Linked DNA regions of Caenorhabditis elegans. The protein of the gene in region 1 interacts with the protein of each later gene in a pairwise test. Each region holds a gene or a part of one and is shown in the gene's direction. Other genes may lie near its edges. The genes, in order: magu-2, emb-8 and F17E9.5.

The links.
Region 2: the proteins of magu-2 (region 1) and emb-8 interact in a two-hybrid assay, tested with the Caenorhabditis elegans proteins (one large-scale study listed by BioGRID).
Region 3: the proteins of magu-2 (region 1) and F17E9.5 interact in a two-hybrid assay, tested with the Caenorhabditis elegans proteins (one large-scale study listed by BioGRID).

The regions. Positions count from the first base shown.
Region 1 is NC_003283.11:8,794,046-8,805,431, reverse strand, and holds the start of magu-2 (MAGUK p55 subfamily member 5), read left to right. Parts: upstream 1-4,403; 5' UTR 4,404-4,435; coding exon 4,436-4,610; intron 4,611-4,888; coding exon 4,889-4,998; intron 4,999-5,044; coding exon 5,045-5,129; intron 5,130-5,189; coding exon 5,190-5,277; intron 5,278-8,503; exon of another isoform or gene 8,504-8,802; intron 8,803-8,874; exon of another isoform or gene 8,875-9,064; intron 9,065-9,864; coding exon 9,865-10,115; intron 10,116-10,169; coding exon 10,170-10,328; intron 10,329-10,527; coding exon 10,528-11,365; intron 11,366-11,386.
Region 2 is NC_003281.10:5,196,350-5,207,735, reverse strand, and holds emb-8 (NADPH--cytochrome P450 reductase), read left to right. Parts: upstream 1-8,058; 5' UTR 8,059-8,075; coding exon 8,076-8,197; intron 8,198-8,255; coding exon 8,256-8,349; intron 8,350-8,402; coding exon 8,403-9,401; intron 9,402-9,448; coding exon 9,449-9,697; intron 9,698-10,199; coding exon 10,200-10,496; intron 10,497-10,540; coding exon 10,541-10,768; 3' UTR 10,769-11,056; downstream 11,057-11,386. Other genes in the region: syx-16 (t-SNARE coiled-coil homology domain-containing protein), read left to right, coding at 1-113; ATPase morc-1, read left to right, coding at 842-921, 977-1,065, 1,117-1,703, 1,779-1,920, 1,965-2,603, 2,652-3,343, 3,393-3,632, 3,682-3,750; moc-6 (Molybdopterin synthase sulfur carrier subunit), read right to left, coding at 11,073-11,151.
Region 3 is NC_003282.8:8,343,890-8,354,832, forward strand, and holds F17E9.5 (DUF7087 domain-containing protein), read left to right. Parts: upstream 1-1,928; 5' UTR 1,929-1,993; coding exon 1,994-2,074; intron 2,075-2,207; coding exon 2,208-2,615; 3' UTR 2,616-2,657; downstream 2,658-10,943. Other genes in the region: lgc-5 (Neurotransmitter-gated ion-channel ligand-binding domain-containing protein), read left to right, coding at 1-70, 118-229, 274-403, 444-596; F17E9.18 (Neuropeptide-Like Protein), read right to left, coding at 3,002-3,151, 3,202-3,258; F17E9.15 (uncharacterized protein), read left to right, coding at 3,534-3,590, 3,639-3,839; F17E9.4 (TransThyretin-Related family domain), read left to right, coding at 4,498-4,667, 4,716-4,818, 5,004-5,104, 5,153-5,204; F17E9.16 (TransThyretin-Related family domain), read left to right, coding at 8,449-8,609, 8,658-8,763, 8,807-8,922, 8,973-9,024.

The DNA.
Region 1 (11,386 bases):
ATCTATTGAATAAATTTCTTTAAACAAATAGTACTCCTTGTGATCACTGGCCAGACGCGGCTATTATAGATTCAACCCACACAGTAATTGTGCTCTTCTTTTCAAAAACAAATCGAATTAGCTAACAACTCACGAGGGAAAAAGAAAAGATGGAGTTTCTCGCTGTTTCCCATTATTTGTGGCGATAATCACATTGAAACAAAAACGTTGGACCTTCAAAGCATCTGAAGAGAGGAGGAGAATGAGTTATCTGGGAATGTACACTCAATTGATCATCTAGATTTACACTAAATTCATTTAAAAAAAGCAATAAAGAAATTGTAAAAATTGCTTGGTCATTTTTATTACATAGTCTATATTTTAGTATTACAATGAATTTAGTGCAATTTTTAAATTCCAAACTTTTTGACTGAAAATTATGTATTTACTTTGAATCTAGAATATTTTGGGAAAAAACACATAAATTGCAGTTCCTATTAGTGTTGCACCCTGCTATAGCAGCTTTTATCTCTATTTTAAGTGTTTCAACAACTATACGTAAAGATATAATAAAGGTTTTGATAATAATTTAACTTGTTTTGCAAGAAAGCAAGAAAATCAAAAACTGACTAATAGAACAATAAGGGTTGTAAGACTATTCAAAACACGGAGTAAATAAGGTTTATAATAATAATAATTTAATGACTATCCTAAAAAATGTTCTAAAATTTTTAGAGTGAAAACAATTTTTTTTGTTAATCCTATTTGTTTAATCATGAATCTAATTAAAAAAAACGCTAGGTTGAAGGTAAAAGAAAACATATATCAAACTGTTCATTCAAGCTTTTGACAATAAAATCATATTATGAACGAAACTCTTCGAAACTTTCTCGCGTAGTTACAAACTCCGTCGACGCAATAAACTTTTCTGAATCCATTTGAAAACTGCTCACAATCCAAAAGTGTCTCACACTGAGCTTTTCTGTTCCTTTTACGGCAAGCATCCACTGGAACAGTGAAAAGCGAAAATAGAACAATAGAGAGTAGAAGAAGATTGAATTGGAACCGCATATTGAATACAAATGGAGGTGTATCTGTGTTTTATGTGGGCGGAAATGTGGAAAAAACTAAAAAAAAACTTATGATTATAATTGAATTACGGTTCGAGAAGCAATACTGTTATGGGAACGGAAATCGAATTGAGGCAAATCGTTGCAAAGTGTATAGTTTTCCATTTGTTTCAAAGTTGTGTCATGTGATTACGGTAAAAATAATTTATGGAACCTAAGAATTTGAAAACAGAATCTACTGGAATTATTTTATTGTTGGAGGTTTACCCGAAGAGATTCTCCACAAATTTTGCTCTTTAACACAAATTGTTTTAAAAGTTGACTCTTTTTCAATTTTTCAAATCATGTAAAAACGTTTGAGGAAAAAACAAACCAATTGATCCTTTTTTGCTTCTATTCACAAACATTCAAAAGTCGTCTTTATTTTGTTTGTTATTGCGTGCCATTTCTCCACCAAATGTCCGTTTTTCTTTGCAAACGCCGTTCCAACAACTCTTTTCCAAATCCGTCAACTTTATAACCAGCTGGCAACTCTTTGAGCACTATTTTCCTTTTTTTTTGAATGAAAGTGTGAGTACGCACACGGGGCCTCTCATCAGCTGCTTTTCGTTTTCTAAAACCACTCGTTTGGGACTTCTAGGAACCCCTTCAATTCCCTTCTTTTTGGTTCTTTTCTCCAAATTTCTTCGCTCATTTTTGAAAGTGTTTGGAATCAGAAAAATAGAAGTGTGGAGATCTCTAAAGCCATACTTCTAAAAACCAAAAAGCCGGAAATTGGAAACGTTTCTCACGGCGACGTTGATGAACGAGTGAAGAAAAGTGAGAAAGGGAGATGGTTGGTTCCACAGAAAAGGAGATCATATCTATCTAGATTTGTTCTCGAATGCCAGTTAAACACGCTTTGACGGCGGAGGAAAGTTATTTGAAGGTCTCGTTGACTTTACTTTTCTTAATTTAATCTAATCTATGCAATTTCTCTAGGATAACTGCCAAAAATAATTTTCATGTGAATATTTCATTTATGTAAAAACACTTTTGTTTGAGTTTGACTTTCTTATTGCTATTTTGACTTCCTGTAAAACTTGCTGAATATAAAATTGCAGCAGGTTGACTATAAATTTTGATACTGTAAAAAAGTTTTCTTCCATTGACTCATATACATTCTATGAACGTTATTATTTTCAAACATAAAATCCTTACAATCTCAAAGTATTTTCCACACAAAATTTTAAACCAAAAGTATTTCAAGAGAAATACAAGAAATTCGGTAAGTTTTTAAAAGTGTCGCTAGTTCTCTAGAGATTGAACAAAATGCGTACGGTTCAAAATTTTTTCAAAATTGATTAAGCGAATTAGTTTTCCTATTTAGTTTAAATGGTTATATTTTGAAATTTTAATATGTTTTAGAATTTCAAAAAACTGTTTGCATAATTTCCGCATAAAATCATAGTTTCTCGACAAACGTTTTGTGAAGATTATCAACGATGGACGTTTATGTTTTTCACAATATCTTCTCACAACTTATTCTCAAAATCCATATTTGTTTTTTGCATTCTATACAAAATAAAATATGCCCATCAAACTCGAAACTAGCCTAAAAATGACTGAGATCCGAGAGGCGGGTGAAAAAAGTTTTTTTTTTTTAAGTTACGAACTTTAACCATAATAGTAGTGTTATTTGTCTTGGTTTTTTTTCAAAGCTACGAGAGTCACAATAGAAGATCGGCGTAATTTGTCTCAGAGAAAATTACAAGACGACATGTTGAAGATAGATGAGCTGATCAATGAAATCAGCACTAATCAGCTGGCTATTCTCTATCTTATAGCTTGTTCTTTCTATGCGGCCTGCGTCTCTTCAAATCCCTGCGGGTCGAATGTCACAATTCACCATCTCCTTTTCTCTTTCTTGCTCCATGTGCTTCTTTCTGTCCCCAGACTGGACCTTCTTGTGCTCTCCCACCCACACCGCCATCTTCCTTTCTCTCTTTGCCCCATCCTCGACTATCTGTATCTTCTTCGTTCTCACTTTTTATACTCGAGACTCTGTGGAAAAAGACACAGAAGACACACCAATGGCGTCAAAAATCTTTTTTTTTAGTTTCCCTCTGCCGGACACGATGCACATAGTTTCGGTGCGATTCTCTCAAGAGGATCCCCCATAATTATTTGTCACTCTAAATCTCAAGCTCTCTCATCCAGTTTTCATTCCCAATCTATCCATCTCCCTGTCACACTGAACTAGTGGAATGAATGTCAATATCATCAATCTGGACCACTGTTTTCATCTGTCTCGTTCAATTTTTTATCCCCGGGAAAAGCTATTATTTAGTGCTTCATTCCGTGTGTCTTGAGCTCATGGATACTTTGAAGACCTCATCTTTTTTGATTGAACAAACGTGACAAGACAATTTTATGAATTCTTAGAGAGTGTGTGTAATTTTAATTGCTTGCAGCATGCTTGACAGCTGCACTTACTGTTTTCCTTGAAATACGCAAACTTTCACTGATATGCCTAATTTTAGAAGTGTATTTTTGAAATTCAAAGGAAAAACTTAAAATTTACTTTCAAAATCTTTAAAGTAGCTGTTTTTATCAATCTAGAAAATGTCACTACAGATAAAAATATTGTATTGATATGTGGAGTCTTTTAATTGTGCTTTTCGTGAGTCAATAATTAAGATTGCATTTTTAATTTGGCAACAATTTAGAAATTTGTTATCTGGCAAATATGTTCTATGATACCGTAACTTTCTCAGATAACTTTAAGATTATTTTTTTGTCCATAACCTCTGTTCTCAACTTTAAGACATACAGTACCCCTTATACACAGCTCCCTTTTTTTGTTATTTTGAATTTTCTCTTCAACTATTCCCATTTTTGTCGGTCTTTTTCCAATTTACCCCAAAAAGTCCATCTCATCAAAAGCGCTTCAAGTCTTTTAGTTCTTATCCCCCATTCCTCTTTAAGCTCTTGAAACACAAAAAACAATTGCAGAAGAAAAGAAAAAAAGCAATTAACTAAGAAAGTGCACTCATCACAACTCTTCTTCTCGGTTCTTTTTCTGTCTCAATTATTCACGCAACAACGCTTACATGAAGTAGCAGTTTTTCGAGTGATTCTGACATTTCTATTCATTTGTTTCAAGTTTATGATTATTTTTAGATCCAAGTTTTGAGCAGATCCCGGAATCCTAGCATTCATCATTCAAAATGAAAACCACGAGATTTCAAAACAACTTTTTTCATTTCACCTACTCATAAATTCCATTCCGATTCAGTTATTGCTTTATTTTCAGAAATTTGGATTCTCATTTTCTTATTTTCGCTTTCGTTGGAAATAATATTCCCAAAAAATTTTCAGCCTTCATCTAGTGGCTCGAGTATCAAATGTCCAAGTCGGTGTCGATACCACAGGCACTGTCCGACTTGAAAAGGACATCCTTGAGACGGTTGAGCAGTGCACGTGGTGTTGGAAATAAGAAGACCGTTGTGAGCACTTCGACGCCGTTGAGTGGTTTTGTAATTTTGGTTGAACGAGAAGAGAAGGTTGTTCGGCTGTACGGTAAGTAAAAGATAATTTTATTTGACTAATTTATAAAAACATTTTGAAGTATTTTTATTGAAATAATTTGCAATTTTGATGAATTTTTACTGAAATTTTGTCAACGAACATTTGTACTAATGCGATTCTCCAAATCGTTGATGGCATCGGCAAAGTGGGCGTTTTTTTAACCTATATCGCAATTTTTTTCGCTTTTTTCAAGGTGTCTGGAAATCAGATATAAAGTGCTTTACAAATTTTATGCAGACTTCTGAAAAAATAATCGATTTCCATTACAGGAACTGCTGCGGAAAGAGCAGGATTGAGCATTGGAGATGAAATCGTTGGGGTAAATGACATGAAAATAGAAGGAAAAAGTTATGAGGAAGTCACAACTTATATTCAAGAAGTTTGATAAAATTTATGATACTTTCTTGCAAAATTTCAAATTTCAGTGTATTCGTCGAAAAATCATTCAGCTGAAAGTTAGACGTCGTGCATTAGAAATTCCAGCAGAAAATGAAGCTTCTGTTTTTAACTGTGAGTAAAAAAAAGTTTATACTTTTTCCTTTTTAATACTTAGTTTTTGTTTAATTTCAGGCACAAATTCGAATCGTATGATAACGGATGCATATCTAGTTTCCGTGGATAAGGATCATATCAAGGAAGTTACTAAACGGCTGAAAAAGTGAGTAATCTTTTTTTGAGAGAGATTTTCTTCTCTGCGATACTATCTGTGAGAAGCGGAACGTGTAAAGAACGGAAAGAAGAGTTCTTAAGTGCTCTCTATTTATGGTATATGCATAAACAGTGAATATATGACAAATAGTGCAAATACCACTAAGATTTGGTTTTTGGCAAATCAATGTTCTTGAAAAGTTCTCATATTTATTTCATTTCACTTAAAAAATTCATCTCTCTTCATTTTCTTTAAAATCTTTGTTGTTCACTCGTCGACCTGCTTTCTAGAAATTAATTAATGGCCTCGAAACTTTCTGACGGGCAGGGAAACACAAAAACACTGAGATTATGAATGTGAGCTAATTTGGAATTCTCGTTCGTCCAGTCTTCACAACTATATAGGTCACATTCTAGTATTTCACACAGTTAGTCGGCACGTCTAGTATGTCACAAACCAATAATCTGTCAAGGTGAAGACAAAAAATGGAGAAAAAAAAAGAGAAAAAACGGAGAGTTCCGTCGTCAAATATATCAATAAATCTAGTGATTAATCAGTCAACCTGGCGATTCTTTTTTATGTCTCCCTGATATTCTATTTCACAGTCAGTGGCATTTTCAAGTAATAGAACCTCCCATTGCGCTTATCACACTCATTCTCTCTTTCTCATTCCTTTTTTCTTATTCTTTCATCAACTTTTTAAATGTTTCTGTCTCATTACACTATTTATCAAAAAACTATCATCACTCAAATTCTGTGTTCTCTTCGTTTCGAAGGTTGTCTGACTTGTGATAATTGCAGGTTGTTAGGGTTTCAGAACGTTACAGTTCTTTATTACAATTTACTACGCTTTTGAGATTTTTTGTATGTTCACAGTTAGCTAAACTCTTGCCTAGCTTTGGAATAACATGTTACTTTCAATTTATTGATTCTTGTATGTTTTGAAAAGCAATGACTTTTAGCACCCTTTTAGCACGACTGAAACTATCAGAAAAAGATTTTATACAGCTGCAGCTAAAATTTCAACACACTTTTTCAAAGGAAATGTTCTGCAAAACTTTAATTCAATCGTCAAAAATTGAATAAGGAGCAACGACTGCCGTTCTCTCAAATTACAAAGAGTCACAGAATTTTATTTTCGGGGGAATACCTTTCCAAAAATGGGTGAAAGGTCATAACGAATACATCAAACTCCAACACATTAGACACACATTGTTATTTATTGACATAAACCATTTATTGCTTTCCATTCGTCTCCTCACTTTTCCTTGTCGACAATTGTCAATTGCACCGTTCTTTCCAAACCCAAAAATTTAACAAATAATTATTGAATCCGTTTACACTTTCTTTTTTTCCATTCAACCCTAACCGTTCCTCTTTTTGTCATCATTGTGCAAATTTCATGCATCATAAATTTTTGAGGACGGTACGGTTTTTGTGTAGTTGTGGATCGGTTAACTGTTTGGTGATGGACACAGTTATCGCGACTTTAACAAAATTTTGCTTTTATATTTGTTATCAAGTGGCAAATTATTTTAAGTTATCATTATCAGTGGAGCAGAAGATATTTTATTACTTTTCTAATGTTTCGAAAATTTCAAGGAGTATAGGAATAATTTGCAATTTTTGGAAATATATTGGGTTCGAATTCTAGAAATTAGTCTGTATAATTTAAATATTGTTGATTCAAAAATTATTTTTTCAGCTACTATATGTAATATTCATTTTTAGAACCTTTCATTTTCTTAGTGTTTTGCTACTTTCCCGATATGTCTCATCATTGCTTAAAAATATTTATACATCATAGCCACCACCTTCTAAATCGTGGTTTTCATAAATATGTATTTGTATACATCTTTTCCCCAATAGGAAGGGATGCGCAAACGGGACCTCAAATGTAAAGCTGGTGATGAGCAAACATAAAAGTAGAAGAAGCGCGCACGAAAGATGATGAAGATGCAATACGGACTGTGTGTGAACAACTACAATACCGTCTATTGTTTCGACCCTCACTCACTCTCACCTTCCTCTTTTCCCTCAACCTGCACCACTTTGTATACAATTGTCATGAAGAGAGTCAGGCTGAATGGGGAATTATTCTAGGACTAGATTTGGTTGATGTTGGGTGACCAGCATGGTTTTCCACATTTTCATCTTCATAATGATTTTTGGAAGAGAAAATCAAAACCAACATTATGATCGAATGTTCTTCAAATTGTTTTGGTAACACCTCTTACCACACTTCGTAATAATAATAAGTACGTGTCAAGTTGTTTAGTCACAAAACCGAGTATGTCAATTTTTCAATCCAAACTGCAAACATTCAGTTTTGATTTTTTACAAAGTCTGGGTTCTCCTCAAATTTTACTTTTAAACTTTTTGATTTTCAAAAAATTGAAACTCAACTACATTTTTTTTTTTCTTATTAGACCACTCTTTTGAAAATGAATTGAGCCTCTAATTAGATTCACTCCATAAGTGGAATGCATTCAATAAATATAACTTGGGATTTAACAATTTATATTTCGTTTGGTTTAAAATACGTCAGCTCTTGTTGGAAAAATGAGACTTTACTTTTTTGTATTTTATTCCAATAAACATGTTAGTGAGAAGCACTCCGATACAAAAACTAATTTATTGATCTCTTTTGAAATCTGAGAACATTCGAACTTTAGCGAACGGGAAAAATGGTGTGGAGCAAATATTTAGGTTTTGGATTTTTTGTTGTTTTTTAGATGTCAGATTATATAATAGCTTTTGGTATCTTTTACATATATTTGCAACTTGCTGTTCAATTTAAAAACAGATCGTTGGGACATTATATTTAAATATACACCCGTACTAATATCAAACTATAGATTTTTTAGACTGAAGTTTGAGAAAATATCTAACGTATTCTTAATTAGAACCTATGTAGTCATATATCCTCTGTCATACCTCATTAATAATCCGCATCCTTTACCTCACCTATCCACAGAGTATATAACCTTGTCTAATTAGACTCCCCAATCCCCTTTTCCCGCTCTTTGCCTGCCATATCGTGAAACGCCCTGATTGTCAGGATAATTGGCATACATATATGCACGGGCACTCTTTTTCTCTACCTCCTCTTCACCTTTATTGACAATACAATGTGCAAAAAGGTCACAATACCGAGGTATAATACTCTCTTTTTGACAGTCGATGTATTTATTTCATTTTCACATTTTCACCAAAAATATTGAAAATAACCAGTTGGATAGAAAAGAGATACATACAAAATAGAGAAAATACACACATAATCCCATCTCTTTTCATTTTCCCTTATTCTTTCGTTTTTTACTTCCGTTGGTGGGTTTCGTGGTGGTGGGTGCGTTTTTTTTTCCGTGCCTTTCCACCCATCGTTCCATCCCATCATTCCACCGACCCATCATTCCGACACGAACACATCATCATTCATTGTTATTGTCATCCTTTTCATATATACCTGGACCTATTCCCCCATCAAATATAGATCAAATCCATCATCTCTGCCCGACAAAGCTTGTACCAAAAAAGGAGAAAAAGCAGGTGTCGTCAATAGGCTTCACGCTTCCGGACCGGCAGGTGTTCGGGTTTGAGACTGAACAACTGAAGAAACAACGTTCACATTAGCCCCCGACCCAAACCGATTGAGATGCTTATCGGTCAAAACTAGCCGAGTGTGGGTGAGAGAGAGAAGGTTTAACGGTGGTCTCCTTTGATTTCCCGACAACTAAACTCCCAATGATGATGATGAGAGAACGGTCTTTTTGATGGTTTTATGAAACCTCATAAAATTCATATCATTCTGGGAAAAGGTCAGTTCACTAAAAGTGGGAGCATAGGTGAAAGTTTCGTATTAGAAAAATTTTATAAAAAGTTACCTGCATATTCTTTTTGGCGCTCAAAATTTGCAGCTAGAAATTAACTATGCCCTGGTGTCGATTTTTCAATAACCGAATGCCTTTTTCAATAACAGTCCTAGAAATACTTCACTTTATTTGAATTATTGACTCATACGCCCAATCATCCGCACAATATTTTTTCACCTTTTGTTTGAAATATGGAAAAAAACCATAACTTATAAGTAACCCTTTTGAAAATATTTGACACGTATTCGTTTGTTTGTTGCCATTTTTCGATTTCTTTTGATGTCATTGTAAGCATTTGCCAGTTGACTTTCATATGTCTGCCTCTCTTATACATTAAAACCCCAATTTATATTCAATTAATTAGTTGGCACGGAGTGGTTGCTCTGGCGTGACAATACATACGTCACCATTGTTTAAATTTCTGATTATTTTTGCAAGATCAAGAAATTTTAGAAAGATGTGTTTTTAATAAACCCAGAAATACACTTATTTCTAAGTTTCGAGGTTATGCAAATACTGATAGTTCTGAATCATCTGTTATTCCATATTTCCATGTTTCTATTTCTTATCGCATATTTCACATCCTCCTACGCATGTTATCAACTCTAGTGATTGTGAGTTTTGTTGCATTCACACTCTTCGTTTCAAAGGTGTTTTGCTGTTGTCGTACCGTTGCCCAATGAATCATAATTATTGCTAGTACTAATTCAAAATCGTTTTGCAGAGAATACCCCGAAATTCACACATATGACATGGAGTACATTGCTGCAACATCTGGACCACCATCAGTTGCTCCACGGGGTTCAGTTCACACAAATGGATTTGGGATCGAAAGAGGATCTCTCCGTCGTCCACCTGAACAATTTGAAATGCAAGAAAAGAAAAGGAAAGAACAAGAAAATACATTTTTGAGAAGTTCATTGCGAAAATCCAAGAAGCTTCAAGCTCTGGCACGAAATGTAGATCCACTTACTAGTGAGTTGATTTTTGATAAATTGCCTTTGAGTGTTTGATTTTTGTTTTATTTAGATGAACCCATGAAAGTGACGTCATTTGCTAATCCACTCGCTGAAGTTGAAGAAACTCCATCGAGAAAGACGGAAAATGGAGCAACAAGGATAACTGTTGGAGAGGAAGTTCTAGAAAGTTCAGAAGTTCTTATTGACGAGGAAAATAAGGATTCTAGGCGTGAGTAATTTATTTTTGACAAATGATTGTGAGAGAAGCATTTTTCTGATCTTTAAAATCAAATTAATTTTTGGCTGAGTACAGCAGAACTAAAACATTCTGGAATGCTAGAACTTTAAACACACTCAAAAATCAATATTCTCAAAATTAGTTTTTTTTTCTTTTACAGAAACAAAATTTATCAAGATTATATTTTCAGAGCTTGACGAAGTAATTATATCTGTTGAACGAATTGCATCAAAGCTCTCTTCAATGCAAGGGCGCGAAAGTGACGTCGCAATGCTTCGAGATTTCTTCGCAGCTCCACCAATTCAAGCTGCTATTGAACAAACAGTTAAGCAGAACGGGAAATGCGGAACAACATCATCTGGAATTGGAACCGATTCTGGCGGTGATTCTTCGTCGTGTACATCTTCCCCCATCCCACCAGTTATAATGAATGGGAATGGAAAATCAGAGAGATGCCCATCAACATCATCTTCATCTTCTGTATCTCCAAGAAATGCTCCAAATGTTAAAGTAGTTGAAGTTGTGAAGGATGAGGATAGTTATCTTGGCGCAACGGTTCGAAATGAAAATAATAAAATAATAGTCGGAAGAGTTGTGAAAGGAGGAATTGTAGAAAAGATGAACTTATTCCAAGAAGGTGATGAACTACTTGAATTGAATGGATCTTCATTGAAAGGAAAGCAAGTGAACGAGATCTGTGACATCCTTCGAAATCTTTCGGGGCCAATTACTTTTGTAGTTGCACCAAAAGAAGAACAAGACACCGAACAACCAACTGATACGGCTACAAATACTGTCACAGCAAAGAAGTCTCAACAGCATGTCCAACATCTTCGAGCCCTTTTTGATTACGATCCAGAAGATGACGTGTATGTACCTTGTAAAGAGTTGGCAATGAAATTTCAAAGAGGAGATATTCTACACGTGTTAAACACAAAAGATGATAACTGGTGGCAAGCATATAGAGATGGAGAAGATATTCAACATTCATTGGCAGGATTAATTCCTAGTTCCTCGTTTAGACAACAGTGAGTTTGAAACAAAGAGTT
Region 2 (11,386 bases), on another chromosome or scaffold:
ATGTCTTCAAAGCGGAACGATATCAAAAAGGAAACAAAAAAATGCATTGTATTTGTATGCTCACTGTTGCCATTATTTTTGTACTGATTCTTATTATTGTTACTAAATTGTAATTCTTTTACTTCAGTAGTTTTATTTATATTTTTTGAATAAACCGGGTATTTTATTGATTTCTCTAGTTCAATCAATGAAATTCTAATTTTAGATTCCGGTTAGATTCCGTAATGCAGATATTTCCTTGTTTTATTCAAATTTAAAATTCTTCCACTACTTAATCTGTAATTAAAAATGTTCTCTATATAAAACTCGTGCACATCACTCTAGAGCAGGGATTCATTATGTTGCCGCATTTTCACTCGGATCATGTTACTCTTCGAATTCCTCTGATAATTTAGTCATTTTCTTCCGTCTAAATTCGTTTAAAATCAACTGATTAACGCCAAAGCCAATTTTTCTTTCTCTTTCCGCCAAAAGCCTTGAAATTGACTACCGTAACACTTGTCGCTTCGAGACCCAGGCCGCATTTCGGACCGCCCGCAGCACGCGTCGCGGAGCTTTTGGGCGAGATATTTCGAAAAATGTTGTTGTTGTGTTTTCCTTTCACGATTTTTTTCTTTTGGGCGCAAATAATGGCTTTTTAATACCGGATATATGCTGCATTGGCCTAAAGTGTTTCGAATGGCCCACAAAATTCCATTTGTCCTCTGTTCGGGCCTCTATTTTTCAATGTCTTTAACCTTTTCTCAAGTTTACCTTTTTCTCCGTCGATCACCCTTTTCTTCAAGGACTATTATCCAAAAATGATTGATTTAAATATATTTCAGCATTTACGAAAATAATGATGCCCAATGACACTAATGGGGATGACTACAAAAAGCTGGAAAAAGCTTCAGTGAACCTCAACTTCCTGAAAAGCAACAGGTAAATTTTAATCTTTCTAAAACACATTCAAAATCAATACCCATAAAAATTTCAGTCACACCCACATTGGTCCCTTGTCGGCAATAGCAGAGCTAGTGGATAATGCGTATGACGCAGATGCGAGAGATCTTCACATCGATTTTCGTAAGTTTTGAATTGTTAATTTCAGTAGAGAGAAAATGTTTATATTTACAGTGGACATCAATAATGAACAGTTTCTTGAACTTCGTGATGATGGACTGGGCATGGCTCGCGAAGAGGCACTTCACGCCATCACGTTTGGACACTCAGCAAAATGTTCTTACAAAATCGGCCGATATGGCAACGGACTCAAATCTGGAGCATTTCATTTGGGACGTGAACTGTTACTGGTAACGAAGAAAGACGGAATTATAACAGCTCTCCTCATTTCTCATCGCTTCCATGAAGACCAAGGACTGACGAATTCGGTGTTTGTGCCGTGCCCTTCTTTCGACTTGGATGGTATTCCAATTTGTCAAACCGAAAGCGAAAAAGATCGTTTCAATCTTGAAATGAAGATTATCGGTAAATATGCTCCACTTGGATCCAGAACTCTTGCTGAATTGGCCGATAAAATCACTGGAAGTACGGGAACGATCATCATCATTGGCAATCTGAGAAGAAGTGTGACTGGAGAACTGGCAATCAACACGACGAAGGATCCGACTGACATTATTGTCGATTCAGGCGAGGAAAACAAGCCTTGGCGCGAGTCTCTTCGAAAATATTTGGAGTTCATTTATCTCAAGCCTAGAATGAGGGTAAGTAAAATTCTCTCTCGTTATCTCAGCTTTTTACGAAAATTGTAACATTTAATTCTGAAAATCTATTTTCAGATTCATGTCCGCGGAGAACAAGTTCTGCCGAAAAGGATTTCTGAAAACTGGATTGCGAAGAAGCAACAACTAATTAGTGGTGATCAGTTCACAGCCGCCTACAACAAGATTCTTGATGAAAAGAATGAGACAGTCAAGAAATGTGAGTCATTGACACCCAAAGAATATAACTGTAATTTGTTTCAGGCGAAGAAGAGAAGGCTTTGGTGATGTCGGAAATTGGTGGCACGAATTACACGTCTGTCCGAAGGGAGGATCGCGCCAATCAGAAAAGTTTGCGGCTTCGTGTTGACACCAGTCAGAAGAATTTGGATTCGGCCATTGCCGATCGAGATGCATTCAAGAAAGAAGGAAAGAGTGAAAAATCATTCCATCTCAACATGGGAATTGAAACCAAGGACAGATCGAACAATGGTATCCACTTCTACATCAACAATCGATTGATTTTATGGGGAAACAAGGAAGCCAAGTTCTTTAGTAAATTCGCGAACAGCATCGGTATTTCAATGTTCCTGAGTCTGGATTATTCGTTGTTCAGTGCGGCACAAAACAAACAAGGCTTCGATCATGTGAAGGATTTCCAAGTGCTCGTTAGAAAGTGCAACGATGCTCTACGCGACTATTCCATGTATTTGGAGAAGAGTTGGATTCCAACACATCTGAAAAATACCTGGAACGTGAGAATTTACGAGGGCGATGACGTTTGGGCGGTGCTATGGGGCGTTTATGGATACAATAATACCACCTCAACGACATGTGTTCAAACTCACGACAGCGCGAGGGATCAGGTGATGTGGACGACGTGTGGGATTTGGAAGCTGTGTCGTGAGTTTTTTCGTTTTATAATTAAACTAATTTACTGTTTTTTTTTAGAAATGTGCCGAACCTGGATCAAAGCATCTCGTCCGAATGAAATAGTCGGCTCGAATGATGATTTCTTCTGCTGCGAAAACGTAAACCATCATGGTTGTCGCACCATTGTCGCCGAAGATAACGACTTCAGTAAACTACCGGAAAAATATGATCATATCCTACCACAGAAACGGTTGACTAATTCAGCACCATCATCGTCCGACTCTCAAAATTCTATTCGCTCGGCATCATCCTGTTCTTCTTCGTCTCGTCTATTGAACGTCGCGAAGATAGAAAGTCACGAAAGAATTCATTCATCCACTGGTGGTCACAGATTGGGAGAATCATTCTCAACAACATCTGTCAAGATGGAACCCATTCCAAACAATGCGCATGACAGTCATATCGCAGAAGTCCAACGCAGGCACAGTACTGGAAGAGCAATCTCACCCGCAGTTTCCGAAATTTCTCGTAGAGCTGGAACTGCGCCAAGTTCACAATTGGATATGATTATGGGAGAAGAATCGGATGAGTCGCAAGAGGCACTGACGATCAGAGCACCGCGCCAACGTGCTAAAAGACCAATTGAAAGAGTTTCGAGAAGAAATAGAAGAGATCAATCAGATGATGACTCAGACTCTGAGAACGAAGAAAGATACGCTACTGCGCCAAAAAAGTCAAAAGTCAAAGGAAAGGCTGTTGTGAGAGCACCTGTGAGTTTTTTCAAATATTTGCATCACAAAATCTGTGTATATTTTTCAGAAAATGACTCGGGAGAAATGGCTAGAAGAAATGCTCAACCAGTTTCTGACCGCTCATGGAGAACAACCTCTTCCAAAGAACGGTCAACGAGACTTTGACCCGACGAACATTGTGGAGCAAACCTCACGACGAAACTTCAAAAACAATCAGAGAATCGTAGACGCACAGCAAGCTATTATGCGTCAGATTGGATCAGTTCTTGATCATCTCAAGAGGAACCCGACACATAATTTCAAGATTGTAAGCTTTATTTATCTTTTTTTTATCGTTGAAACTTTTGAAATTTCAGCCTGCTTCTGGAACTGTCGAGGAGAAACTGAAAAATATTGAGCACCAAATCAAAGGAAAGAAAAAATAATATTCCAGCTCGCCCTGTTTTCCCAGAAGGACGTACTTGTACAATTATAGCATGTTCATTTATAATCTTTTCAGAGATTTTTAGCTTTCTCTTTTTTCATTATCGTTTTTACCTCATTTATTTATTATCGTTCCCGACCTCATTTATTTATTATCGTTCCCGACCTCATTTCCCGACCCCATTTATTTATTATCGTTCTTCTAATTCTCTTTTCAATTATGGGTTACTTTTTTTTTTTTGTCTCTTCAGTAAGAACGTATGAATGTTTTTTTTTGTAAGAATATGAATTTTTTTCAATCGAGTTGTTTTTTCTGCAAAGAAATATATCCATCTATGTATTTCAATTCGAACTTCCAGTAGTCAAATTAAGGCTGAAACACCAATTTTCAGAAATTACAGTGAAGAATCTGTTGATCTTCTATTTTTACTTCCGTATGATCAAAACATACTGTTATCTTTGTTGCCTCCATCACTTTGAAAATATTTGTATTTTTTCTCTACGTGTTTGTAAGCATAAACCACAAGCAGAACACAGTCATTTTGATCCGTGGTTTGTAGTTTAGTTCTCTTTTTTAACTTTTAGAATTTTCTAGACGATGATCACAAATTTAATTCAAAATTAATCATTTTCGGTTGAATGTTTCTAGTTCGATGTTTTAATCCGATTTTCACCAACAAAATCTTGTACAAGTTCAAAAAATCGTATAAAAACCCGATTTTTCTTTTCACATGCATAATATTCATGGAAATAGACCGAATTTATCTTTTCTTCAAATCATTCGACTTATTTTCCGATACCGATCTTTTGAGAATCGGGGAAGACTCTTCGAGAACAACGCCGAATTTCGAGTATTTTGCACGATCTTCTTGCAAATTTGATACATAAATTAGACATTTTTGTTCTATTCCACGTCTTGAATCTTCAAAAAGTTTTTGTTCAAATAGAAATTTCGGTTTCCCCCAACAAAACTCGCCATAATTGTTTTCCACATTTCTATCGGTTTCAAAAACTACACGTACAAAAATGGCTAGAACATAGACCACACTTTGAGATCAAGTGTAGCCAATAGAGGTAGTTGTTCACGAGAAAAACAATTATAGATAACACATGAACTGAAGAGAGATAGGTAGAGAAACAGAACGAGAAGAGAGAGAGAGACAAGAAAGAGAAAGAAGAAAAGAACAAGCGATTTTTGTGGGCTGTTACTCCCTCTCAATTGTTTCCTCTCTCTCTCTCTCTATCTCTATCATAGTCGTATTAGGGGAACTTCGTGTATAGTTAATGTGACTGTTAAGGCTTGAATTGCTTAAAAGAAAGATTTCATTTGTAGTTGATTTATTCTAGACGATCTCTCTCTCTCTCTCTCTCTGTTTCTTCTTTTCGATGTTCAATTTGACCTACTTTTATTAATGGATATTCGTTTTCTTCTCTTTCCACGATTTATAGATGTTTCCCCTGAACTTCGTCTCTTTAAATTTATTTGTTTCGATCAAAATTGTTTTGCTTCATTATACCCTAAATGCCCTTAAAATCCAAATTTCACGAAACTTTTCAAAGAATTCTCAAAAGTTTCATGGCTGTTCAAAAGTTTCGAAAAAAAAACCTGATTTCAGCAATAATTTCCAGTTTTCCCAACTTTTCCGTGTCGCAGCGGTCGCAAATTATTACTTAAATATTCGGTTATTTTCATATTTATTTTGCAATTTTTTGTCATTCATCTCGTGACATTTCATAGATTTTTTTCACATATACAGAAATTCACAAAAAAAATTTTTTCGAAACTTTTGGGACTATTTCGAGTATAATATAACAAATTATCCAAATGTCGCTTCTCCATTTATCAAAAAAAAACCCTCCCGATAATTTCGTTAATGAGGACGCTATAATGTTTTCGATATTCTTTCTCTGACATCAAACATAGAAAAAATAAAACCCCGAGATATCCTTCTTGATAATATAAAGGGTACACTGTAGCCAGGTCACCTGCAATCACAGCCTATTCTTTGAGATGGAAACCTAGGCAACCAACTCTATGCTCTACAATCATGCTCTGAGATGTTTTTTTTAAATCAAACATTTTTCGATTTTCTTCAGACTTCCGCATAACCTTTTGATTTCCAATTAAAAGTGGCACCTGTTGCCTTTCTTATTCTCTTCCTTGTATTAAAACCGGAAAAAATGAAATCCTCCACGTCTTCAATGTGTGTGTTGTCTGCGCCCCTATGTACGTCGACTTCGATGACTGACCGTTCATTGTATCGGGCCTAATTCAATTTTTAACTCAAGTGTGACGATATATTTTGATTGAAAACTACGTGCAAACAATTATGATTTTCCATTTGAACTTCAAATTTTGTAGAAAACGCATTTTCGTTTGATAAAACCGTACTTTGCGTGTGGTTTTCGTACACAACATCCAATTTTGTCAAAATGTGATAAAAGTGACATAAACTACAGAAAATGCTTGACGGTGTAATCAGTCCATATCTATTTGACTTATCAACTTAAAAACAAAATTCGCAATTTCTTTTCTTCTCTAATTCTCAATTCAATTCTTATCAATGATTAAACCTAACCAGACAATCTTTGAATTTCAACAGTTATTCACCAGTCATTTATTTCATCGCATGACTTGAATTGACGTTTAATTCAAATTAGGAAATTATTTTTGACTGAAACAATCGTTTGGCGACTAATTATTTCTGAAAGTCTTGTAATAGTGGAAATAACCAATTTTATTTTATTTCTATTACAAAAGTTGACTCTCTTTTGTGACCAAGTAATATTTAATTTTCAGAAATATTGCTCCCGGTCTCGACACAACAAATTTTGTAAAATGTAGAAAGTCGTGCTCCTTGAAAGAGTACTGTATCTTCAAATTTTCATTGTTGCGGAATTTCCCACAATTTTTCGAAGTTTTTCGATAAAAAATAGATATATTTATTTTAAAAACTCAAATTTCAACATAGCGAGATGAAAATTATGAAAATTCAACAACAACTAAAATTTGAAATTACAGTACTCCTTAACGGCGCACGTGTTTTCATATTTAACAAACATTCGTCGTGTCGAGACCTTGGGTACTGTATTTGTGCCGTAAAATTACTTGGGTTATATCAGATATTGTGCCGCAGTTTTTTTTTGTTTCAATTTTTCCTGACTCCTTGTTTTAGTTTTGTTTAAGCATTTTCCTACTGTACTTGCAAAATGTCTGAAATTTTTTAAGATTACATAGTTTTTAGAAGTTTTGTTTTCAGAAGATAATTTTGGCTAAACAGTACTCTAGTCTACGTGTCAATACAAAGTCTGACAAATTTTGTGTTCTCGAAGTATCTTTCTTCGACCACCAAATCATATTTTATGTGTGTCGATCACAAACCTCAAAAAATGATGCAAACTCTCTGACTATCTGCTTCTATAAAATACTCACCTTCTTGGCAAATACAACTTTCTTTTCACTAATAACTTTTCCTCACGGCGTATCTTTGTTTATTTCAATATACCTCCCTCCCTTAATTCGATTTTTCTTCTGTAGCTTTTGTTTTTTCTTCTTTTTCTTTAACTGTAAGACCAAATTAAGGGGACAGACAGAACAATATGTCTAATGTTCCCATTCATTCACACAAATTGACTGTACATTTTTTTTTGAAAAAAGACTCACTGAATTTGCTATACGATAATCGTATCTCAAATTAAGTTTTTAGTTGAAATTGTTTTTGTAAAAAATTATTTATTACAGTTATATGATAGAAATTCAGATATTTCTCAAAATACATATATTTTAGTGCGACAAACTTGTGGTTTTTGCGCCAAAAACACTGGACCCAGTCTCAACACGCCAAATTTTTGATAAATACAAAAAGGTGTGCACCTTCAAAGTGTACTGTAGTTTCGAACTAACGTTTCTGCGCCATTTCAATCAATTTTTCAGAGTTTTCCTCTGTTTTCGTTTGATTCGGGATTTTTCTAAGTACCTGAAATCACCTGAAAACAGAAAAAAAACACATTTTTGTTTAAAAACTATTTATTTATTGAAAAAATAAAGAAATGCATGAAAACAATAAAAATCACATAAAATTAAACTTAAAAAACTATGGAAAATCAATTAAAATTCAACATTAACGAAAGTTTGAAATTACAGTACTTTTTAAAGGCGCACGCGCATTTAACAAAAACTTGTCATTTTCTCGGCGCAAACATCGCAAAATTCAGCGGCAATATTTTAAAACATGTTTAAACTATAACTTCTTATTTATTTACTTTTTCAATATCTCCCTCTTCCTTTTCAAATAATTCTTTAATTTCAGAAACTCTCATTCTAAACATGCTGGCGTGGATTGTGTCGGGTCTCGACACATCAGACCTTGTGGTGCTCACTCTGCTCGCTGGTGGAGCAATTATATTCCTTTTCATGAAGGTTTTCAATCAGCAACCATCGTCTAGCAGGTACTTTAAAAATAAATGCAGAAAATTATTTTTTTTACATTTGAAATTAAAATTTCAGATACTCGCCAACCGTAGCATCGGTCACCACGTCAGCTGCGGCTTCGAAATCGAATCAATCATTCATTGATCGAATGAAAAATGAGAACCGACAGGTAAATTGATATGGAATTTTAAAGAAAATAGAATCAAAATTCTCTAATTTCAGGTGCTTATCATGTACGGATCTCAAACTGGAACAGCTGAAGAAATGTCTGGACGTCTTGCTAAAGATCTTACTCGTTACACCAAGAAGGCTGTTGTCGTTGATCCAGAAGATATTGAATGTGAAGATTTGAATCGTTTGAGTGAAGTTGAGGATGCTCTTTTGGTACTATGCATTGCCACATATGGAGAAGGAGATCCAACTGATAATGCAGTGACACTTGTTGAATATTTGAATGCTGGAGACTGTGATCTGTCGGGTGTTCGATTTGCAGTTTTTGGACTTGGAAATAAGACTTATGAACATTTTAATGAGATTGGAATTCAAATGGACAAACAACTTGAAAAACTTGGAGCCAAGAGAATCTTTCATTTGGGATTAGGAGATGATGATGCTAATCTTGAAGAAGATTTTATGATTTGGAGAGAAGCTTTCTTGCCAAAAGTTGCTGAAGAATTTGGATGGGAGTTGAACACAGAGGCCGAGACAATGAGACAATATCAATTGGAACCAGTTGAAGAAGGAAAAGCTCTTTTCAAGGGAGAATTTGGACGACTTGGAGCTTATGAACGTCCACGTCCACCATTTGATGTCAAAAATCCATATTTGGCTACTGTTGCGATCAATGATGAACTTCATACCGAACATTCTGATCGTAGTTGTAGACATATTGAGTTCTCTGTTGAAGGATCCCGTATTCGTTATGAAGCAGGAGATCATCTGGCTGTCTTCCCAACAAATGATCCAGTTCTTGTTGATCGTCTCATTAATATGCTTCAATTCGATCCTGATCACGCATTCCGTCTTGTGAACGTTGATGAAGATGCATCAAAACGTCATCCATTCCCATGCCCAACCACATTCCGAACTGCTCTTTCTCATTATGTTGATATTTGTGCTCCAGTCAAATCTCATGTGCTCAAAGCAATCAGTGAATATTGTACGGATGATACTGAAAAGGAATTCCTTAATAAGTTATCAACTGCCAATGAGGAGGGCTTGGTGAGTTTTTTTAAATTTTAATTTTGAAGTAATTGAATTTTTTTCAGAAAGAGTACGCCAGATACATTGTCAAAGAGCGTCGTTCAATTGTCGATGTATTGACTGATCAAAAGACATGTAAACCACCAATTGAGTATCTTCTTGAACTTCTTCCACGTCTTCAAGCCCGTTACTACAGTATTGCTTCATCTCCGAGATTAAATGAGGAAAAGATTGCAATTTGTGCAGTTGTCACTAAATATTCTATTGGTGATCGTGATATCAATGGAGTTTGTACAAGATATTTGACCACCAAGGTAAATTTTTTTGCACATGATAGAAAATGAACCGTAATGATCGAATATAACTTTTTCAAATTTTTTCATAATTTTATCAATTTTGCAAATAAGAAAAATAGCTATTTTCGAATTCCCTAGCAAATGAATCACCCTGTTTTGGCATTTTTGCATTTTCTGGCTAATTTCAATTTAAAGCACAGTTTGTAAAATTTTCAGACATTTTTTCGCAAAAAAATCTTAAATGTATACAAGTTTACTTTAAGAAAAATGTCATAACCGGACGATGCATTTGCGCGGGAATTCAAAAATAATTATCTCTTTTTTCAATTTGCAAAATTGAAAAACCATTTCAAAAAAATTTAGAAAAATTTATTACATTTTTAAACAGTTATATTTGGCCATCACGGTTCATTTTTGTATTTTTTAAAACAAAATTTCAAAAAACTCTCACTGTACTCTCACTCAAAAAACTCTCACTATCACACTTTCTTTTTCCAAAAAAAAATCCAAATAATTTCAGGACGCCGGATCGAAATCTCCAGTTTTCGTTCGTAAATCAACAATGCGTCTTCCCCACCGTACCACAACTCAAGTCATTATGATTGGTCCCGGAACAGGATTCGCTCCATTCCGTGGATTCCTCCAAGATCGTCAATTCCACAAAAATGCCGGAAAGGAAATCGGAGCAATGCATTTGTATTATGGATGCCGTCATCCAGATCATGATTACATCTACAAAGATGAGTTGGCAAAGTTCCAAGAAGACGAAGTGCTCACACACTTGGTTTGCGCTTTCTCCAGAGCTCAGGAACATAAGGTAGGATACCGTGTTTCATTGACTTTTAAATAAGATATTTTTAGATCTACGTGCAAGATCGCTTGTGGGAGACTCGTGATCGTATCTGGGATGCTATTAACGTTGGAGCTCACGTCTACATTTGTGGAGACGCCCGCAACATGGCTCGTGACGTTCAGGCAACACTTCAGAAGATTTTCAGAGAAATCGGAGGAAAATCTGAAACGGAAGCTGTCGCCTACTTCAAAGATATGGAGAAGACAAAAAGATACCAAGCTGATGTGTGGTCATAATTTTCAAATTTCATTTTTGTTCAGTTTTTTTAAAATTTTTCAGTAATTTTTCTGTGATTTAGACAAAATATTGCATTTCCCCCTTTTCCCATTTTTCTGTGATAACCTCCCACCCAATCGCCCAGCTCTTTTCAACCCAAAACAGAGAAAAAAAATCATTCGAAATTCGGGTATAAACTTCGCCTCTCTTCCCTATTTTGCACCCTTTGTCGCCCACTAACCCACTTTTCTAGTTTTTTTTTGTCAAATATATCACAAATTTTCATTGAAATAAACAGAGTCTACAAGAATTATCACAATAAGATTATCCACCAGACAATGGAGGAATTACAGCGATTTCTGTGAAGCGAACCAATTCGAAACGATCTCCGGGGTTGGCATATCTGTAAACGACATATTATAAAGACGCAGAGATGTGCGACGGCCAAAAGTTGGGTCTCGTTAGGTATTGGCAACGACACTTCCGAAAGCTTTCTTTAAAAACAACGCGAAACATAACAAAAATGATGAAAAGCTATTGAAAACATTTCAATTAACAGTTTTGCTGCCAATACCTAACGAGACCTAACTTTTGGGGGCGGAGCTTTTCCATTTGGCCGTAGAGCGCGGTTGCACCTC
Region 3 (10,943 bases), on another chromosome or scaffold:
GCTGCAATTTCAATGATGCTTCAATTAGTTTCCGATATGATGCCCAAAGCCTCGCGTCTTCCATTACTAGGTAAATGAAGTCTAATTATTTTTATCCATCTATTATTTTAAATGTAGGCAACTATATTATTGCTGAAATTTTTGTGGTTACTGCAGCTACAATTGCTGCAATTGTTATTCAACATGTTCATCATCATGTTCACACAAATGCAACGTGCCCTCCAAAATGGTGAATATATGAATAATTAATTAATTATCTCTACTTTTTAATAGGTTACGATGTCTCGTACTATGTGATTGTATGAGGGAAGAATTCCCTTCTAAAACCAGTTCTGTATCCAGTATGGATGTTCCCGAGAACATCATTGCGCCTGTTTCTCTTCTGAAGTCGTCATTACATAAGGTAAACCACCATGATTTGAACATTAATTGATATATTTTAGACTGCGTTTCTTGTTCGTGACACTCTGCAAGAAATGTCTCGCATTAATGAAAATCAGTTGCTCTGGCTCAAAATTCTGGATAAAACTGATCTAATGTGTCTTATTCTGTTTCAAGTTGCCAATGTTGTAATAACAATTGTATATTGGAAATAAAAATCAAAAATAACTTTCAATAAATTTATATTTACCCGTTTAAAAAATTTGATCAATTCATAGGGATAGATAGTCCTAGTGGCAAAAATTGGGTACTTGTTTGACAGTAAATTAAAAAATATTTAAAACGTCTCTAAAGCACCCTCAAAACAAATGATCGGTTTTAGTGAAGAATAATTTATATTAACAACTTTCCTGCGCGAGAACATGGAATGTTTGGACTTTTTTAGAGTATTGTTTTCTGCGGGGTTGACAAATTTTCAAGAGTCCCTAGGCCTTCTACAGTGCCGGCCATAATTCTATCCAATTTTAGTTTTTTGACAATAACTTGTTTCAAAGTGATTCGTTTGAGTTGAAAATTCACTATAATATGAAAATGATCAAAACATAACTATTACTGCAAGAATTATAAAAAAAGCAAAATTTAAAAAAATTTCGGGGAATTTTCAAAAATTCGAAAAAGTGAAAATTATCTAAATTCTGAAAATAGGTTCTTTGTGAACTGGATCGGTTTTATCTGTCTACGAAACTGTCATTAAACTAGTAAATGAATCTTTGTGAATTTATTTTTGGCAATTAAAACTTAGGTGTCACGTGACAACAGACCATAAGCTTACCTGCAACTTGCAAGTGCTTGAAAATGGAAGAGTCTTTCTATTTTCAGTCATTGTGGCTATGAAATCAGTCTCATTCATTTTTAAATTAGGTTTTCTACATTGTTCAAGACTATTCTATTGATTTTGTATAATGTTTCTATCTATCTCGCTGGATATAAGCATCGCAGAGACACTCAGTGCTTACCAAGTATGTCAATTTTTGTCTTTGCCGCCTTGGTAAAGCTACCCTAACCCCCTTTTTTTCTAATGTGTGCAAAAAGTCAAGCAGTCAGAGTGAGGGATGGTAAAGCTATCGCACCTGCAGCAAACTAACTTCAAAATAAATTATGGTTTTATAAATTAGGGTAAATTAGGTTTTGGTTTTCTCAAATGTTTTTTTTCCGCAAACGTTATTGGATTTGGCCTATATATATTCTCCAGGCCAACTAGAAAGCATTCAGCTGGCTAAAAACACGCGGTTATCGGTATATTCATAATTGAACAAGGCTTCCCTCAAGTGACTAAAAAAGCTTGTTTAATTACATGAAACGGATGAACTAGAAATTCTTTAATTTCTTTTTCGATGACCGTGATGTTTTACTTTATTTCAAAAATAATTCCAAAAAACATCCAGAAACTTTTTTATAAAGGTTGTTTTTTCTCCGCTTCAACCTCGACCTTTCTTTATCTCCACGGTCAATCTGCCCTAGATCCGTCCGTATAAAAGATCGGAAAATGTGTAATTCAAATCAGTCTCTGCTCGAATCACCGATTCTCTACTCACTCGACTACTTCTCTGCAATGGATCAAATCCCACCGTACGAGTTCAATAAGTACGTGCTCTACGCTCGTGGTGCCGTCATCGTGTGTGCTTCATTTGAGGTTCGTTCTGTGCCGTTCGTGGTCCTCGGAGGACTGGTCCTGGTTTTTAAGGGCTGGCCTCTAAAGACTTGTCCTGGCTCTTGGTCTTTTGCCCGTTTTCCAGAATGTATAGAACATCATGAAATATTTGCAGCTCCTGATGGTTCTGTTCGGTTCCCTCGGCGATTGCAATTTCCTTGCCAAGCTATTCTACTTCATCTTCCTCGGTGGAGCAGTTGCCGTCTCATCGCACAACATTGCTCTCAACATTGATGGTCGCGAGGAGATCAACAAGGTTCTTACCTCGTCTGACAATGAAGTTCGTGGAAAGTCTGCCGCATTGGTTCTTGTCCCAGCTCTTGCTGGTATCTTCGTCTTCTTGTGTGTTTCTGGGCATGCATTCTTCTCACTTTTCGTGCTCATCCACGTGCTCGCCGCTGTTGGACAACTCGGAATTGAAGCTTATGAGTTCAAGAAGGGACAATCTGGAGCTCCAGCACAAGACCCAGCCGCCACTGCACCACCAGCCCAGGATCCAGTTGCAGCTCCACCAGCACAGTAGAAAGAATACTTGGGGGTTTTTGAAATAAAAGTTTTTACTTGCTCTTTTTGATCAGGAATGTAATCTGCAAATTCTGCTAGACTCGGTCGCCAAAAAACCTGGAAAAACTAAGTGCTCTTTTCTACTGTAGTTTCAGAAGAGTGAGCATCTTGTTGTAAGAGTAATATTTTGTTGTGGTTAGTCCGAAGAGAGGCTTCTGTGATTACTTAAAAACTATCGTAACTATCAACTTTTTGAGCAAATACTGGGTTATTGGAGTACTTTAGTATGATTGCTGTTCGTTTCGCTGGGTTATTTCAAGGATTCTCGCAAACTGGAATAATTCAAACACTTTCTAAATGCTCAATAATCTTTATTATTAGTTCCAACTCCAACAAGAGAAACATTCATTTTCTTCCCCATCCAAGTGGAGTCGGTGGACGATAGATGGTATGTCTTGCATTTGCAGATGGGATGAAATTGAATGAACTTGGCTGAGGAGCTCTTCTAGCTGGGTTGAACAGTGATGGTAGAATTTGATTAGTTGGAATGAATTGCTGTAAAGTATTATACGTTTCTTTTGCTTGAAAGTTTGAAATCAGCCTACCGCGGAAACCGAGAAAATGGCGAAAGCAAGGAAGATGCAGGCGGTGAACAGTTGCATTATGAGATGCGCTTTTTGGACTTCACCGAAAAATGGTAAATTTATATGAAAACATTTACGAGCTCCCTCCGATTGTAGTGTTCAAAAACATAACAGGTTTCATAAAATATTCTGACCCCTCCGACAATCGAGAAAACTCTAAACATTTTAACTACACCCCTTTGATTTTTTTGAGAAGAAATCAAATTTTGCAGTGGTTTTTTCGGAGGGACCTCATCAAACTGGGAATATAAAAGAACGCGTTTTGTGTAGTATCATTAGCAAAGTCTTTGAAAATGCAAATATTCAATGCCTATATCTTCCTTGTCTTCACAATTTGCTCAGTTTCTGCGGTAAGTTTTAAATGATCAAACTCAAATAATATTATATTATTCAATCAGCAATTCTATCCATGGTCAATGGCTTTTCAACCAGTTGATCACATTGAACCATCAATCTTCAATCCAATTCCACAAGCTCCAGAGCCAAATTTGTTCAATTTCATTCCATCTGCAGTTGCACAGCATACTATCTGTGCATACTATATATCAATCGTCCACCAACTCCACTTGGTTGGGGAAGAAAATAAATGTCTCTCTTGATGAAATATATAATAAACATATTCAAGCATTCAGAAAGTCTTTATTTTATTGCACACTCCCCCTAATGTAACAAGTTTAAACCGTTTTACAGTTGTTTTCATCCTATTACGACATTGTTAATACATTTTTTAACATTATAAACTGGAATTTCTGACATGTGTAGTGTTCGTAAGTGTAAGTGTTCAATAAGTAATCACAATTAAAAGTATCTACGAGCAAGATTTCAAAATTATCAAAAACTTTGAATATTATGTTTATATTTCTTGTACGTTCTTTCTAAACTCTGTGCCTATTGGTCGGCCCAAAACAAATCGTTAAAAAAACAGATGAACACTTGGATAATATAGTTTCAATTGCGAGTCCCTGATGAACCTGTGACTCAAAGTGAAGTTCCTCGCAATCTGCTGACACTCTGAAAAGGGTCGCGGGTCGATCCATGTTTACGCCTAACAAGTTAGAAAGCTACAATTTTTGCGAATCCCATCCAATCATGCAATCTCTGCCTTTGTTTTGTTTTGTTGTCAATGTTCTTGAAATGTGATTTTCTGAAATGTTGTGGAAATCATCATGTGAACGCATCATTTTATTTTCCAATCTCAGTCATCTTTTCCCCGTATAAAAGATTCTTCTAAAGTTTTGTTTCTACATCATATACAAAATGACGGGATTCTCAAGTGTATTCCTAAGCATTCTTTTTTGTATTTTCTTCCCATACGTTGTCTATTCGGCCAGTTCTACAAAATTCAATTTCTCTGGAACAATCACATGTAATGCCACCATGAAAGATTCATTTGTCGAGAAGCTGCAAGTATGGGAACATGATAAAGCGTTAGTTTGAATATAAATTTTTATGAAAATCTATTGAAAATATGTCAGAACACCAAATGATATGATAGGAGAGGTAGCACAATTTATTAAAGACAAATCTGGTTTCTTTTATAAAGTTGACGCAGAAGACAATGGGGATGGACTATTTGATGTAGGTATTGTTGTGATTCTAAAATTTTGCTGTGACTTATAGGAGGAGTAACGGTTGAGATGATTTGGAACGTAATTAATGGAATTTTAATTAATTTCAAAGTACCCACATGTTTTGTCTATGTGTTCAAAATACTCAGAACTGTTACATGTTCTTTAAAACCAATTTTAATTGTGTCGTTTCAGAATGATTATGAAATTTACTTCACTATCTATCACAATTGTACAGAAAAACGAACTGGAGATGATGTGACTGTTTATGTTAAGGATTTCCTTGTGATTGATGGGTAATTCTTGCTTGTTTTCAGTATTTTACAGAAGAACTACCGTTCCAGAGCCTACAATCACACAATGGATATCAATTTGAGTGACTTGACAAAACACTAAAGGAAAAACTAAATATGTGTTAATAGATTGACTGAAAATATTAGCATCTATGTTTAATAAAACAATTTTGTTACCCATATTTTCTACAATCAGCCAAATAACCTTTCGGCCATCATTCCGAAAACCTGAAATGCTCGGAAACTGTCCTTTCGACCGAAAACAGGCCAAGCAGATACTGTAGTAGAATATCAAGTAGTTGAAAAACGTTTGGAAGTTTGGAATACTTTCAATTTTATTAAATAAATATTAAAATTCGTTGCCTTTTACATTTCCTTTTTTTCGGATTTTCCTGTTTTCGGCCGAAAGGACATTTTCCGAGCATTTCAGGTTTTCGGGGCAAATACTCATTGACTCCAAAATCATTGACTACCTGTGCTCATTGCCTTCCTGTTCTCATTGCCTACTCTTTCTCATTGCCTACCCTTTGCTCATTGTCTACTCGTTTTCTTCATCAGTCAAGAGGCACGTACAAGGACCGTATTCCAAGAATACATCAAAGATACATCTACTCAATTTGTTCATTCATTCAAAGGGTATATATATTTACAATCTTTCAATCTGTACACAACATTTCGGGCAACAATTAATAGTAGATGTCATGTTTTAATTTATATTAATTTTGATAGGACACGCAAAGGCTGGGCAACATTCATTATCCATCAACATTAATAGCAACAATAGCAACAAAAAAACAATTAAAAATTTGAAATAAAAAGTCTGGAGTTGATAGTGGCTTTCGATCTAAAAATGAAATAACCTCCAAAACTCTCTAAACTGAGTATTTTCAAACTGGCGTATCTCAAAAAATACACATCTGGATAACAAACGTCCAACTAACAAAATGATCAGAAATATTTTTTCTTTCTAATTCAATAGTTTTTATTTCAATACACCAACTTTTTGTAGAGTTACACGGAGTCAAAGCCATTTTACCAATTTTCAAAAAAATTTTAAGAAGTCTTTTGTTGTACCCTTTATAACTCAACTTTCATTAATTTTCAGAAGATAAATTTTGTTGAATAGTGAGTGAAAAATATTTTTCCACATTTTACCAGTTTCAAGTTTTCGGATATTTTCATGTTTCGCCAAGTTACAGACCGTTTTTCAAAAAAAATCCAATTTCGCTTATAAAAATCTTCATATTCAACGTATCGACTTGAAATTTTGAGAAATGATCACTTTTTTGATGTCTCTACAATGTCCTAAAAAATCTTTCAAAAAACACTGTCCATCTCCAAAATCGTCCTTCGCTCCGAAAAATGAAATCGGACTTTTGCTTTTCGAGAAATGTGCGAAAAAATCAAAGTGGCTTAGTGGCTGTGGGTCGATCTAAAAATGAAATAACCTCCAAAACTCTCTAAACTGAGTATTTTCAAACTGGCGTATCTCAAAAAAAAACCAACTTTTTGTAGAGTTACACGGAGTCAAAGCCATTTTATCAAAATTCACAAAAAATTTTAAGAAGTCTTTTGTTGTACCCTTTATAACTCAACTTTTATTGAATTTCAGAAGATAAATTTTCTTGAATAGTGAGTGAAAAATAATTTTCCACATTTTACCTTATAAAAATCTTCATATTCAACGTATCGACTTGAAATTTTGAGAAATGATCACTTTTTTGATGTCTCTACAATGTCCTAAAAAATCTTTCAAAAAACACTGTCCATCTCCAAAATCGTCCTTCGCTCCGAAAAATGAAATCGGACTTTTGCTTTTCGAGAAATGTGCGAAAAAATCAAATTGCGATTTTTGGGTCGAAAAAAATATTTTTAGAAAGCTGAGACCACGCTATTTACGAATTTCATGTTTATTTTGAGTGATTTCTTCTCTTAAACGACCTAAAAACTAAACAAAAATAACATAATTTTTATTCTCACGTGTAATTATTTGGTAATTTGCTCAGTGTTTCAATTGTTTTAATGCAAATTTAAAAAATTTCACGTGAGAATAAAAATTATGTTATTTTTGTTTAACTTTTAGGTCGTTTAAGAGAAGAAATCACTCAAAATAAACATGAAAATAGCGTGTTCTAAGCTTTCTAAAAATATTTTTTTCGACCCAAAAATCGCAATTTGATTTTTTCGCACATTTCTCGAAAAGCAAAAGTCCGATTTCATTTTTCGGAGCGAAGGACGATTTTGGAGATGGACAGTGTTTTTTGAAAGATTTTTTAGGACATTGTAGAGACATCAAAAAAGTGATCATTTCTCAAAATTTCAAGTCGATACGTTGAATATGAAGATTTTTATAAGCGAAATTGGATTTTTTTTGAAAAACGGTCTGTAACTTGGCGAAACATGAAAATATCCGAAAACTTGAAACTGGTAAAATGTGGAAAAATATTTTTCACTCACTATTCAACAAAATTTATCTTCTGAAAATTAATGAAAGTTGAGTTATAAAGGGTACAACAAAAGACTTCTTAAAATTTTTTTGAAAATTGGTAAAATGGCTTTGACTCCGTGTAACTCTACAAAAAGTTGGTGTATTGAAATAAAAACTATTGAATTAGAAAGAAAAAATATTTCTGATCATTTTGTTAGTTGGACGTTTGTTATCCAGATGTGTATTTTTTGAGATACGCCAGTTTGAAAATACTCAGTTTAGAGAGTTTTGGAGGTTATTTCATTTTTAGATCGAAAGCCACTATCAACTCCAGACTTTTTATTTCAAATTTTTAATTGTTTTTTTGTTGCTATTGTTGCTATTAATGTTGATGGATAATGAATGTTGCCCAGCCTTTGCGTGTCCTATCAAAATTAATATAAATTAAAACATGACATCTACTATTAATTGTTGCCCGAAATGTTGTGTACAGATTGAAAGATTGTAAATATATATATACCCTTTGAATGAATGAACAAATTGAGTAGATGTATCTTTGATGTATTCTTGGAATACGGTCCTTGTACGTGCCTCTTGACTGATGAAGAAAACGAGTAGACAATGAGCAAAGGGTAGGCAATGAGAAAGAGTAGGCAATGAGAAAAGGTAGTCAACGAGCAACAAGTAGGCAATGAGAACAGGAAGGCAATGAGAACAGGTAGTCAATGATTTTGGAGTCAATGAGTATTTGCCGGTTTTCGGATTGATGGCCTCTCTGATTTGACTATGGGGATCTTCTAGGTCAAAGATTGATCATTAAAAATCGCTCCGCGTTGGAAATCATCTTGATTCGATTTGTGCTTCAATTTTTTCTATAAAACCTGAGATAATTTCCAATTTTCCTTCATTCATCATCAAAATGGTTCGAATTTTTTCCACTTCATTCTGTATTCTCTTTCTCATACTTTTCCCGGTTGCTAATTCAGTTCTAACTAAATTCCGATTCAATGGATCTTTCACGTGCTCCCACAAGGTGGCTCCGTTTGTTCAGAAAGTACAAGTTTTCGAACATGACTATCTGTAAGGTAACTAAACAATTTCAACAAATGCTTATAGTAACCATTTTAGAACGTTTAGTGATAAATTAGGAGAGTTTAACGTCTTCCGAACGGTTGCTCCAAATTGTATGAAATATCAATTTAATTTTGAAGAAGACGGTGATGGAAAACCGGATGTAGGTTTTTAAAAATAGTTACTACAGTACATCCGATTTACAGGATGGATTCTATGAAATTTATATGAAGATTTGGAACACTTGTATGATTCCTACAAAATTCAATTCCAAGAAAATTTCATCTTACTGGTTCAAAACGAAACTACCAGTCATTGATGGGTATACAATTTTATTTTCATTTAGTAATCATAAAATCGGATGAATTTCAGAATAATCTATGCCACCGAGAACGTCAATTTGGATAAATTTTCGATTAATTGAACTACGGTTTCTAAAAATAAATAAACGTTTTGAAGTCAAATATACAAATTATACAATACAAGACAGTGAAAATACTAGTCACCAGCCTATACTTCTATTTTATACTGCAGACAGGGACATGTAAAGCGCTGGGGATCCGTTCACGAGAATTCGAGAAGTCTCCTACTATTTAGGCCTGTGGAAAACTGTCCTGAAAAAATATGCATGCCCTCATACCTTACCGAATCTTATCTTACCAAAAAAATATCGTGGTTGTCATCTGAAGCATAACGGGAAAAAGAAAGACCTGTTTAATGTCAAGTACATTCTTTACAAGTTTCAGAAAAGTCCCATTAAAAATTGTGTTGGAAATAGTCATTGGATACAAAAAATGACTACATATAATTTCGTACATTTCAGTTCAAAATCGGAAAATCATTGGACAATTGTAACAATACAATTTTTTTCCAAACAATACTCTAAAAAATATACCTGACATTGCTCTCTTCCATGATTCCAGTCACTCCTAAACTTTTCCTCACGAGGAATTGAACATGCGTAATAAATTTGCCTCATATTTTTGTTGAAAATTGACTCCTTGCTAAAGCTAGCTGATAGATAGATGTGACAATGCATCAAAAATTACACCGCCCACGTTGGAGCCATCCTTATTCGATTTGTGCGCCGATTTTTTTTCTACATAAACTTACATAATTTGATATTTTCTTCTATTGATATTTGAAATGCTGACAATATTTAGAGGCTTCCTGTGTATTCTCTTTTTCATACTCTTCCCAGTCGCTGAATCAGTTCTCACCAAGTTCCATTTCAATGGATCTTTCACGTGCTCCAAGAAAGTTGCTCCATTTGTTCAGAAAGTGGACATTTTCGAACATGACCTGATGTAAGTTAACTAAAACTTTCCAACAAATGCTTATAATAACCATTTTTAGCACGTTCAATGATAAATTAGGAGAGTTTCGAACGGATTCCTTCCAAACGGTTGCTCCAAATAGTATGAACTACCAATTTCTTTTTGAAGATGACGGAGATGGATCATCGGATGTAAGTTCTCTGGAATAGTCGTTACGATATGTATGTACAACAAAATTATAGGATGGATTTTATGAAATCTTCATGTGCATTTGGAACACCTGTATGATTCCTACATGATTTGTTCACAACAGAGTTTCGAAATACGTTTTCAAAACAAAACTGCCAGTCATTGATGGGTATATTTTTACAAAGTAATCATAGAACAGTCTGAATTTCAGAACACTCTATGCCACGGAGGACGTCGATTTGGATAACATTTGAATAATTGAATTATAACTTTTAAATATAAATTGTTATGTTGAAGTGAAACACATATTAGAATAGTTTAAATATTTCATTCAATTTCGAAAATCCTAGTCACCAATCTTTACAAAAACCTATGGATTACCATAAGGTGATGTGATCGCTACGTGTACCTGAAAGAAACCAAGAAAAATGTGCTCTATTCTATATATTCTTTCATTCAAGCTTCAGAAAAGTTCGATTAGAATATTGTCTTGGAAATAGTTCTTGGTTGCAAAAATAAATGTTTCTGTAATTTCGCAAATTTCAGTTGGAAATCAAGAAATCGGCAAAATTCGAGAGAAATTTCAAGTATGTTCTATCAAGTAATAATCTGCTCGTTTTTGTGGCTCGAGTCATGTCTGAAATTAATCGCGTTAAAAAAGTGTACATGCTTACTAAACTCACCACGTGACCATGTAAAACAATGCACCATGACAGTGGGCGACACGTGGGATGTAGGCCTTCCACGAAGGTATCCTCATCGTCTTTTGCTTCGACGACGCTTTCGAAAAGTTTCACAATTCTGAAAAATCAAAACAAAACCGTCTCCTCCACGTTGAAACCATCCTAATTCGATTTGTGCTGTGATTTTTTCTACA